Linked DNA regions of Daphnia pulex. The protein of the gene in region 2 purifies or fractionates together with the protein of the main gene of each other region. This does not show direct contact. Links are inferred from orthologs where the notes say so. Each region holds a gene or a part of one and is shown on either strand. Other genes may lie near its edges. The genes, in order: protein HGH1 homolog, tetratricopeptide repeat protein 4-like and erythroid differentiation-related factor 1-like.

Evidence for each region.
Region 1: the proteins of tetratricopeptide repeat protein 4-like (region 2) and protein HGH1 homolog purify together in Homo sapiens (co-immunoprecipitation; 4 studies listed by BioGRID and IntAct, counting the BioPlex papers as one, with this or other methods). This does not show direct contact. The link is inferred for Daphnia pulex from reciprocal best matches to the Homo sapiens genes TTC4 and HGH1.
Region 3: the proteins of tetratricopeptide repeat protein 4-like (region 2) and erythroid differentiation-related factor 1-like purify together in Homo sapiens (affinity purification with mass spectrometry; 3 studies listed by BioGRID and IntAct, counting the BioPlex papers as one, with this or other methods). This does not show direct contact. The link is inferred for Daphnia pulex from reciprocal best matches to the Homo sapiens genes TTC4 and EDRF1.

The regions. Positions count from the first base shown.
Region 1 is NC_060022.1:5,339,503-5,342,788, reverse strand, and holds protein HGH1 homolog, read right to left. Parts: upstream 2,116-3,286; 5' UTR 2,047-2,115; coding exon 1,962-2,046; intron 1,897-1,961; coding exon 1,473-1,896; intron 1,400-1,472; coding exon 1,278-1,399; intron 1,212-1,277; coding exon 1,021-1,211; intron 961-1,020; coding exon 827-960; intron 761-826; coding exon 664-760; 3' UTR 619-663; downstream 1-618. Other genes in the region: bromodomain-containing protein DDB_G0270170-like, read left to right, coding at 1-303.
Region 2 is NC_060022.1:2,730,195-2,734,586, reverse strand, and holds the start of tetratricopeptide repeat protein 4-like, read left to right. Parts: upstream 1-1,450; 5' UTR 1,451-1,580; intron 1,581-2,197; exon of another isoform or gene 2,198-2,293; intron 2,294-3,860; exon of another isoform or gene 3,861-3,863; 5' UTR 3,864-4,022; exon of another isoform or gene 4,023-4,087; 5' UTR 4,088-4,170; intron 4,171-4,257; 5' UTR 4,258-4,389; exon of another isoform or gene 4,390-4,392. Other genes in the region: crustacean hyperglycemic hormone-like, read right to left, coding at 367-650.
Region 3 is NC_060026.1:4,183,485-4,187,596, forward strand, and holds the start of erythroid differentiation-related factor 1-like, read right to left. Parts: upstream 2,900-4,112; 5' UTR 2,549-2,899; coding exon 1,841-2,548; intron 1,777-1,840; coding exon 1,601-1,776; intron 1,530-1,600; coding exon 1,468-1,529; intron 1,398-1,467; coding exon 1,362-1,397; intron 1,297-1,361; coding exon 1,135-1,296; intron 1,049-1,134; coding exon 937-1,048; intron 876-936; coding exon 767-875; intron 699-766; coding exon 556-698; intron 483-555; coding exon 321-482; intron 263-320; coding exon 164-262; intron 93-163; coding exon 1-92. UniProt on the Homo sapiens protein: Transcription factor involved in erythroid differentiation. Involved in transcriptional activation of the globin gene.

The DNA.
Region 1 (3,286 bases), about 2.6 Mb from region 2:
ACATCATCAGCTGGTTCGACTCACCATAGTCAACATCATCACCGCTCCGTCACAAAGGCAGTGCCGGAAGGTGCGTTGTCGGCCAAGAAGACGACTGAAATAGCGGCCATGTTTTCGAATATCAAGCTTAACCAAACAACCGATATTGTCATTGACGATAGCGAAGTTACTGAAGATACCGCCTCGGAGCTCTCAACTGATGACGCTTACAGCTCGATGCATTATCGAGGCGCAGCCCGGAATACTAAGAATGGGTTCTCGAAACGAAGTGAATTAGAGAATTCGCTTGGTTATTTACCATAAACATGGGCCACGAACATGTTTTTTCCTTTTTTTTTTAATGGCTAAATGCTTAACCCCATTTCAAGATATTAATTCTTCTTCCTTCTTACAAAAAAAAAGGCAATAAAAAATGGGAATGGTGTAATATTGAACAGGGCCTCCCGCATCTCTACGGCTGAGTATAGAGACGTCGATGAGGAGCGGTTTAATCTATTTATCGAAAGCGAGTAAGGACAAAAAAAATAAAAAATAATAATAACAAAGTGTTTAACTATAGCCATTAAGAAATTATATGAAGTGTACAGTGTTAATCTTTTTGTCTCTGAACTCAATAAATAACAAGATAAACCATAGTTTATTGGTGTGCTCTTATAAAGCGGATCACAAAGCGGGCTCTAAAGCATTAAATTTTTCAGTAATTTCTTCGGGCACTTCAACTTCTTTCTTGAGATTGTCGTAACCGATTTCGTGCTCAAACCTAAAATTTTTTATGGATCTAATTATTAACTGCGTCATGAAAAAATAATTACAGACTATATAATACCTAATCACAATGTTGACCAAATGTTCAAGAACCGCTAAAACATTGTCGTTCTTTTCCCATTTGTGAAGTTCACGCAAGATGACGTAAGTGTTTTTGGAGCGCAGGTATTCACGCCCATATTTTGTGGCACATAACTTTTTAAAACATTTGCTAAGTCTTTTAATAAACTCTACTCAAGGACGTAATAATGGTACCTGAGTTAGAGCCTCCAAAAGCATTTTACGGATGTCGGGGTCTTGCTCTCTGGTTTTCTCTTCGCCCAAATATTGCAAATCGATAGGTAGTTTATCATTATCTTCTTCATCAAATTCCTCAGGGCCAGCTAGAGGCAGTAGTAGTTTTGGGAGTAAATCAACTGCATCACTCAATAAAAAGTCATGGTGGTCTGCATTTGAAGGTTAGAATTAATTTGTAGGTTTGTACAACAGTTTACTTTTGACAAACATCTTACCAGTTTCAAAACAACAGTTCTTTATAAGTCCGAGAATACCTCCTCTTCTTGTAGTGGAATCTTTGTAATCTGTGAAAGAAACTAACCTCTGAAGACAAGTTCTTGATGGATCTAATATGTAACTAGAAAAAAGGTAGTAAAATTGTAAAAAAAAAAAAAAAATAATTTTGTCAAAAAGTACTTTGGTTTGAATACCTTCTAACTGCTGGAATTTGACTCAAATTGGAAAATACAGCTGCAAGGTAGTGGAGACGGGCACCTTTTTTATTGTATTTTTCTTGACAGAAAATGTCAATGTATTTTTCTAATTTTTCTCCCATAGTCTGGAATAGCCTTTCACTTCCAAGTTTTGTCCGTGAAAGGTTTGACAACACCATGCAAGCAGGGTCTGCAAGTTCGTGTTCTGGATTGGTGATGATGTTCAACATGTTTTCGATAATTTCAGTTCCTTCTGTAACTAGGGTTGACGTCAAATCTTCATCGGCAGACAGATTGATGAGAGCTAAACTAGCATCTTTCGCAACAGATTTCTGATAATCATTCAGAAGTTTACATAAATTTTTGACAACACAGGTTGTGTTAATCAACATTTGCCTTCCATCTGCTGTTCCTGTCAATCCTTTATGATACACGCATAATACAAAAAATAAATACTTATTAATACTACAATATTTGGATAAATACCTAGCGTCTGTTGAAGAGCTAGAGCTTTAACATCTAGTCGCGTTTCTAGCGTAAGAAATTGAGATAATTCTTCGATTTCCGACATTTTACATCAACAATTCCATATGAACTACATGTGCCGAACGACGTTTCAAACAACAGCAGACGATTTCTATATACGTGATTTCAAATCTGACATCTAGATGGCGTAGGCGCATTACTTATCATTTTTAGTTTTGACTGGCTTGTGTCAGTGACGGTTGAATCCACGTTATTTCAAAATGTAAAACAAAATTGCGAAAAACCCAAAGACCAAAGGGCAAATGCAAAATAGCTATTGAGTGACCCCGCTTCTTAAATGGCTATCGTTGAACATCGTGCAAGTTTTTCTCGTAAATTTACGATATATTCGATCCCAGCATTGAAACGGCTTGCAATGTAAATATAAGTGTTTTCGTCGATTTCGTTGGTATGAAACTATCCTCATCTGTTTCTGCGTCTTTTAGATTGCAAAGGATGATAAGAAGTTACAACCGCTGTTGTAAGAAATCCATCAACAAACAGGAAACCCTCTCAGAGTCGCAGAGTGAAATGTATCACCATAAAAGTAACCATTTCGTTTGCAATGGCAACCTTGGACTAGTGTAGTGGTTCATCCAAACATGGCGGCCCCCTAAAAAATCCAAGTCCGTGTGGTAAACATTTGATGCTGGTATGATTAAAAGGCTATCAAATCATTAATCGAAACCGATCCTGGAGCATGTACGCCACCAGTCAACTATTGGTAAGTTTGTAACCTTGATTATTCTCTTATTTATATCTAGTGTGTGCAAGATTAGAGGGTGGCGTCTTACCCGTACGGTTCATTTAAGCTCTAAAATTTATGTACATTTATTCGCCGACCTTGATAGTTTTTTCTTTTTGCGAACCAGTCACGTTTTTCCTTCACGTGCTATGAATAGATAGATTCCCTACACAAGCATTTCTTCTTCTTTTTTTGCCAAAATGTCCGACATCCCTCGCCATTTTAAACACAAGTCAAAGGCAATAAAGCATTCTCGCCATATTTGTCTGTATGGAATAAATAATCGTTTGCAGATGCAGATTTGCATAAGCAAAACCCCACGTCAAGCTCATCAAATAGTCCTTGATATGAAATGTTACCCCATCACTAGTTGATTTCGACTTGGGAAGTCCTTTTTGCTTTAACTCCCTTTTCTTGTCGTTCGTGAGCTCTTGTCTTTGGTTTTGCTAGCAGACGCTTCTTTGTTTGGGCGAAAATTTCAAAAAATCTTGACAGGGACTCTATCGCTAAAACGCCAAAACTTAAAAACCCATCAATATTG
Region 2 (4,392 bases):
AATTTGCCGGTTATTAAACATATGCCGAAAAGCAAAGATGGACTGGCAAACCAGCTGCTGAAGGATGGCTAATTATACCTGGACAGTATGCCCTCTTTTAAATTGGAATCTGGTGAATGATTGAAATATCCTTCATCACTCTTTGAATGTCTTTTTCATCGTTGATGAGCAAGGCATCTAAGCAGCCCTTGAAATAGTTGGTGGTGAAACAATTCTTCCTAATAACAGAGTTGCAACACACTTGCGTTATAGTTAATAATCTTACAGTCGTAACAAATGAATGTGTGTTGAATCTTTGTTCGATAAATGTTGCAAGTTCAATTAAGGACAAAATTAAACGGCGAGAAAAAACAAAAACTAATTTACCTGCACAGTGTGTGAAGCTCGGGTTCGCGATAGAGACTGTAGCAATCCTGGCAAATGCGGTCGAGACGAGCAAAAATGCTTTTGTCGTATAGCCCCTTGCAATTGATATCGAAGAAAGAGCGTTTTGACAAGGAGTGATGACCGCTAGATAAAGCAGACATGGCCGATGTTGGATAATACGGAAGAATGGCAAGCAAAACCACCAATAAAGTGGTTAGGCCCAAAAGAGATCGAATGGAGTAGGAACTGTGTGTTTGGCGTCCGTTCTGCTGCACTGCGGCCATGGTTTTCTTCGTTCTCCTAGAGCTTTTTCGATCTGTGAAAACAAATGATCCAGCTATTTAGAGCGGCTCAAATAGTCGGATGGGGAGTAACAGGAGAAAATTTTGCAACCTCTTCCTCCCTTTCTTATGAGTTTGCATCATTCTATTGAAGGACAAATGTACCCTCCTCTATTAGGGAAAGAGGAAAAGGCTAGTAACTATGGGGGAGGATATGTTCTCGATCAAGTTTGTGTTATACATAGCTATTGTAAAAACAGGATTAAATTGAGCTTCCACTTTTCACTGAGTGGCCAACTGATTTCGGCTAGTGCGATGCTAATTTAATTTTTAGAGTTACACAAATTCCATGGAGAAGTATGTAGTTAGGGGGTACTTTCAAATTGGAGAAAACGCGGTGCAACGGAACCGGAACAGAACACAACGAATGAACTAAACCAATTAGGGGAATACTGAAAAGGGGGTGTAGCATATATGACAATACGACAATCGGTTATACTTTACCCCCTTTATTTTCTATTTTTTCCCTCGTTTTGTTTGATTTCTCTTCCCTTGGACATCTAGCGGTGGAAATTAGATACTATAAATAGCACATATGATTTGATAATACATGCACGAATTCTTGGGAGTCCTTGATCTTTTTTCACATCTTTCGTGTTTTTTGACCGATGAAATCATTGGTATAAAAAGACAATCACGCAGCATGGAAATATTATATGAATTTGGTGACGATTTCCATACAAGTCCCTTCTCTTAGTTTAATTGTATTCCGTTACGCCACGTTGTCGCCAGTGTGGCGACCACCTTCAAAATTTGCTTCTCGCCTGATCGCCAGTCGTCATCTCTCCTACCGAACCAACAAGTTGTGCACGATCAAACAGTTTATTGGGACCGTTAATCGGTTCGAAATCAATATGGACACCTCAATTTTGGGTAAGTTAAATCCTCTATTTGATTGTATTTTTCTTCTCTGTTTGACTGTGGTCTGAGACAGCTATTCTACTCTGGGTAATAGTATTGAAATCGTTTGTGAACAAAAATTCTGGTTGAGAAATGTAGCCAAAAGTAAATAGTTGAAAACAAACTAATATTATTTCCCAATTGTTAAATTCTTGTTAGTTCTTCTCAGAAAAAAGCCAGCTGTTAAATTCTTGTCAGTTGTTGTCAGAGAAGAGCCAGAAAAGCTCATCAATCGACGATTAGATCAGAACACGAATTCGTATTCCAAAAGTTAATCTATTATTAAGAAAATTGTGACTCGCGTCACTCATTGGCGACAGATTGTGCCACTACTACATATTTAACTAGAAAAATTTGATTGTAGACTAAGCCGTCAAAAAGGCGCTTCCGGTTGCATTAACTTTCTTATTTGCAGAATTTTCTGTTTACCTTTGTTAATTTCGCAAATCCTTCGCTTGCACGTGGGATTTCTTGATTTCTTTGATTTCTCGAAAGGGAACTGACACTCTTTGTTGTTCAAAGTAAAGGAAGTATTTTAAAACTGTAAGAATACTGAGTAATCACGAGAATAACCTCCACTTTTATACTAGGCGTGCGTAGGTGAGTCACGTGATTCTGCCCCCCGGTGATCCGATGGATTACAGCCCTTTCTTACCTGGTTATTCCCATTCACCATGTTATTGTCGGTAGAGAGAACTCCTCCTCATATTTTTCCGCCTCCTTCTTTCTTTCTCTCTGCTCTATACTCAAGCGTAAAACATTTTGTTTTTATCACAAGTCACGTTTTGATGGCGTTTGTATATGACGCAACAGGTTTTTATCAATTAAAATGCCTCTTTAGATAGCTAATAGATAGCTGCTAAAACAATAACATTGGGTGTTTAACATTCCAAATCTGCATTGGGGTTGAATCTGATCAGACAGAGCCCAGGTCAGTAATTATAACAGACTCGAATTTCTATATGTGGCAAAGTAGAATAAAGGGCGATGGCTCTAGTTTAATCTGACGGTACCCACATAGCGAGACTTACCCTAGTCTTTATTCTCAATCCTCGGCCCTTATCAAAATTCTGAATATTTAAAACCATATAGTCTCCCGCTTTCGATTTCCTGCTGCGAATGTGTCATATTCACGTTTAAATAGGTGACAAAGTAACTGTTCTTATTCATATTGCCTTGTATAGTTGCTAATACTAAATCACCCGCCTCGGATTTGCTGCTAGATCGGCCTCATTTCTAGATATTATAATGTGTCTAGCTGATAAGCCTTTGGGTTAGTTTGATTTCACAGAAAAAAAAGAGGACGTGAAAAATCAAAATTCAGAAAACCGATGTGTTGTTTGTTTTGTTACGACTTCTTGAAATACTATGTTAGTTAATATTATACGGCTTTAATGAAACCTGTTAGATAAGTTAACGAGAGACACCCTTATTATTTTCTGGCCTTTACCAGAAGAAAGCGACTTCCAAAGTGCATTGTCATACCCAAAAACCTTTGGTCATCACACTATTCGAGGGAAACTGAAATTAGGAAACTGAAATTGCTTCAAGCATTACGTGATCGTCATCTTGGGAATCCTGTGGATACGTGAATGGAAAACGTGTTGGCGTGCTGACGCAAGATAAAAGAACCTTTAAGTTCCTCTATTCTTATGGGGTGGAATTCCCAGGTGTCCTCTGTCAAGTTACAAAACCCATTGTTGCGCAACAAGCCGAGAGTTATTATTTTGTATTTCCCACACGACACTGGACTTATTTTATGGATAGACTGAAGCCGAGGGTCATAGAACATCAAAACGCGTTACAATCTCCGTACAATCAACACTAATGGCAAAAATGAACGCCCTGATTATTTCCGTGACCAAATTATCGTTTCAAATAGTATCAAATTTTAAACAGGAAAAATAGCGTAAATCTAGAGTGATCTAGAGTAAAATTCAAGTTGAGTATTCGAACGAAGCAAAATGCTATGTGAAAGTTTTCTCTTCAATGTATCAAGGTTTAATTTTTACCGAAATTGAAATGTGCAAAAAAAAATTCCGCTATCAGGAATGAGATGGGGTAACTACGACGAACAACTGAAATTACTAACATGCCATTTTTACATTGCAAAATTATGAAAGAACTCTTTTTTTTAGAAATTCAAAATGACATTTCAAGTAAAACTATAAAATTTTGCCATAACAATACCATCTACTCTGCTATACCATAAGCTTTTAACAGAAAATGACAAATATAAATTTCTTTATTTACCAGATGAGGAAAGGAGGTGAGTAGATCGCACGAGGTTCCCGTACCGGATGATGTAGGCGCACACTCTGATACTCTTCGGATGCTGGATGGACTTTATATAGTGACGAAGGGACAGACGAGTTGCTATGGTGTACAAGGAGTAGCAACAAGCAGACTCAATTGGTGAAATCATCTTTGTAAACGACCAGTATGTGCCATAGATTCAAATAGCTGGGTGAATTCTATAGCTGATTCGTCTTCTTTGGAGAAATGGAGTAGAATAATTCGCGATGTTTCCAACGGCAGCAGCGATCTTAAGCTTAAATTGCAAGTAACCACCTTCTTAAATTTCCTTCTTCTATCCTCTATTGATTTTCAGTAGCCTAACACTTAACCTTTTTCATTTATTTACGCTCAGGAAACTAGTTTAGCATCCTAATACAGAGGAAGAAAGTGAATGTGCCAACATAATTAGAAGCTGTTAAGTTAAACAACGTCGAAGTTTATGAAGTCTGGGATTGTGTCGTCAGAGATTGGTCGGATCCGACAGGTG
Region 3 (4,112 bases), on a different chromosome or scaffold from region 2:
AAGCCAAACGGCATTTCTCCATCAATAGTCGCCAATACTGTTGCTTCCACTCGTTTTGTGGTTCCTTGAACATCAGTGAGCCAGTGACACCACTAGATCACAAAGATAATTATTAGTCAGACATGTGGGGAGAAACTACTTGAAGATCAATTAAATTAATTACTCGAGAGGAGGTTGTTTTAATGTCTGATATGGCATCGGAATGGGTTTCAATGGTGTGGCCAAGGAGGGTTCTTCTTCAGATGGTTTTGTAGTTTTCCCCCTATTTATGGAAAATAAATATTATGTCATTCCCAATTCAGATATTTGGTTTAACTCACTTGTTGCTGAGGAATTCAAGGGCTTCAACTGCGTGCTGAAGAGCAAAGGTGCAGCGCTGTTCCCAATTATCTCCAACGGTGGGTCGCGCATTTCTACGAACGTTCTCTTCCTCTGCCTGGACCTGTTGCGGAGTCGAAAGTGCCGCCACGTCGACAGATGCACTGTGAAGCAAAATTTTAAAGAGGTGAATTATTTAAAATGTTTCAACTGTTTGTTACGACACAATAAAATTACGAGAAGTGATCTTCCGTTGAGGGTTCCTCCCATTCGTCAGACCATTCCTCTTCGACCTCTTCAGAAGTATCTTCGGCTTCTGGAACTTTGAGTGATGTTGGCAAATAGACGTCAGATAAATAGTACAAAGCAGACGTGGCGACCTAAAAAATACGCATTGAACCTGACATTTAAAAAAAAACCAAGAAATATTATTAAAAAATATTGCTACCTGTGGATATTTGGTTGCATCAAGAAGGGATAAGCAGTTCTTTAAAAGAGCTAAGACAGTGCCTTGATGTCGCTTCCAGTCGCTGGACATTTTCAAATTTCGCGCCACTCTAAAAAAACACATACGCATTCATTAAACAATTTACAATTCGCATTGGCAAACAATTTTACTTGAAAAGTAGCATGGCAACTGGTGTCGTAAATGGATTCTGGTTGATGTCTTCATTCAAATCATTGCACAACGAAGTAAGATCGTAAAGCTTCACAATATCATCGTCTTTTGCTGTTTCACGATGAAGACACGAAAAATTTAATGTGAGATCTTAATTTGAATAATTTCCTTGATTGCTTAAGTAAAAATTATTTTACCTTTGAACAGCCAATAAGTGTGGCCGGCTTTTGTGGCTTTAGACTTTAGGAAAGAGAGAATGTTTTGTGCGACATCTTTAATAATACCCGGCTTAAACTGCGATCCCGGTAGGCGTGGTAAATCGTCCGTTTTAATAAGCTCGTATTTTTGGACCAGACCACCTGTAACCATTAAAAGAATTTAACAACAATTTTTCCAGTTTTTCACGTAGCGCGACGCTATTTACCCAAATGATAGCACATCACAACTTCAGGAACATTGCCTACAAATATAATCATTAAAAAACTCGGTTACAAGATGTTAAACAAAGAAATAGCAGGTATATGACATACACATCAAGTTGTCAAGCCAGTAGTCCAGTCCTGTTAGCACATTAATTGGCTTCGACATATCTCTGATCAATTGACAAAATAAAAGAATTATTCATTTTAGCTATCAAGTAAATTTGCTTGACTTAAGGCTTACCTTAAGCGAAGCGAAAGACACGGGTGAGTCCCACCGCCAAAAATAGGCATATCTGTACCAATTAACATCCGCAAATCTTCAAATGTCCATATGATATTTTTAGAAAACTGGGGAAGAGCATCATCGTGAACATGACTTTCTTCTGGAACAGGATCACCAAGAGGATCAATTACAGGCTGGAAAAGACTTGTGTTACTAAGAATTCAAATTATAAGCACTTTAAATAGTACACAATTTTACCTGAACTTGATGATTCCTGTCCTGAACTTGGGTGTCTGCATTTTCTGACTCATTAAGGGCTATACTGTGATAGAGAAATTTTGAGATGAGGTTTTGTTGCTGCAGGTAGTCGCGACTGTGCCGGCTGGATTTCTTGTCTGAGGCTTTTTGCTTAGCACGACAGGAGGCAAAAATGTGTTCCAAATAAAACTTCTTCAGCCAACCCCATTCGTTTTCAGCTGCTCTCAGAAGGTGAGTGTGGATGTCAAATTCATCGAGCAGCAGTGTGTTTCCAACACGATGAACCATCATACTGACAGCACTTTTGCTGTACGGTATCTTCAGAAGCTTCTTGATATTTTCTGCATCACTCACCACATCAACTTCACCCATGGAATCTAAAAAAGATGAAGCCATGTGAAAACTGGCAAATTCTGTTGACTTTGGATTCCTGGAAACAGCTGGCCCAACTATCTTCTTAGGATGACTTAGCAACCAATTAGCTGGTGGTGTGTTCAAGTCGGTGTTGCTCTGTAATAAAGATAATCGTGGAGGAATACTGACTGTCGAATGCAAATCAAAAGCAAATGATTTGATTCTCTTTCCTTCGTTTTCATGTTCAGAATCTTTGCTAAGAAGTGGACGATAAATATCAATCGTCAAATCGTTCGCAGGGCTACTCATCTGCAATGTTCTCTCCTTTTCGTCGTCCTCTTCGCACGACTCCATAATGTCAACTAAAAAAAAACGACACCCGACACTGCGGGAGAACTCAATCAACACGTTTTTCCAGTCAATTCCAGCACTTTCGAAGGATCAAAACAGTCGGGTAATAATAACAGATGCCTCTTCTTGCTAGGCTGACTGCTATTATTAGACGTCAAGTTGGCGTGAAGCTTTCTTCTAGAATGCTCATTCCTAGTAGTTTTATTTGATTGTCTTACTGGCAAACGAGTAATCATGTTTGTTAATGCAGGGAATAATAATAATTAGTAGAACAAATATCCGTTGTTATGTACTGCGAATATCTACAAGCCACCAGGGGATGTTGGTTCCGTTTGTTTTACAACCAAAAGTTCCAAACTGCTGCGTTGAGGCCGAGGCGGGGACTATGAACAGCGCAATCGCTATAGAACTCACCGGTTTTTTCCTGGACGGAAAACTCCGGCGGAGCAGTGAATAGTGTAACATCTCCACAGTCGGTACACTCATGTTGCACAGTACCGACAACGAGAAACACGCCTCCAGTTTTCCTTGTGTTACCTCCTCCCATTGATTGAACTCGAAAAAAAAATTATTAACAACACATTTACGTCATGATTCACCGACTTCGTCGTCAATTGGCCAGTTGAGAGGTAAGTTAATATGGTAAACTTGCCTGGATTCCGTCCAAAATTTTCGTTTCTTTTCCTCTCTATCTCTCTCGCCTCTTTTTTACTGATTCTAACAAATCAACCGACGCTCATCAATTAGTCCGTCTATTTGCCAGGAAGCGTAGAAAAGGGTGGAGGGGGGCACCTATACCACTGTGTTGACGAGCTACGTTACCTAATTAAGAACTCGGGAGAAAAAACAGAAAAAAATATGACAGGAAGCAACAGCCAAAAAACAAAATAGCAGACGGCCTTGGTGAGAGCATCCGACTGGATCGTTGAATGCGGAGACTTTCAATCTTCCGGCATTATGCGGCATCAGCCAGGGAGAGAGGTGGTCCCGCCGAGATGGCTGGAACGCATGGCCATTAATAAAAGTTCAGTCTCTTGGAAAGCCATTCTAATCAGAGTGAGTGCCTTGAGAAGTCTATACGTCATAGGATCGACGTTGCGTGTCCTTCACGTCGACTTTTCTGTCAAGTGCAGCAGAGAACGGACACAGGAGTGCGTGGGAGGAGGGCGGTCAATTCACGACACGATCAAGCGCGGCCAAAAAACCGATTGAACTAAACTCCTTAGGAAAATCAAGGTAGTAGTTGTACAATATACACACACACAAGTTAAGACAAGCATATCGACCTCCCCGAGCTCTCTCCCACTTTGTGATGATTTCGTTTTATCTATCGATTGAGAAAAAACGGAATGGGCGAATGAAAAACTCGGAACTTGTTAGATGTGGCACGAGAGGGGGTCACGCTGGATGGCAAAAAGAATAGGTCGTGCGCCCTTTATTTTCTGTTCTTTCCGCCCCGCCGAGTCCAATCGTCCCCCCCCCCCCCTTTGATACCTCCTGTGTGTCTGTGTGTGTATATACGTGAGGTTAATCACAATCGTCAGTGTAGAGTCTAGGCCTTCCGGGG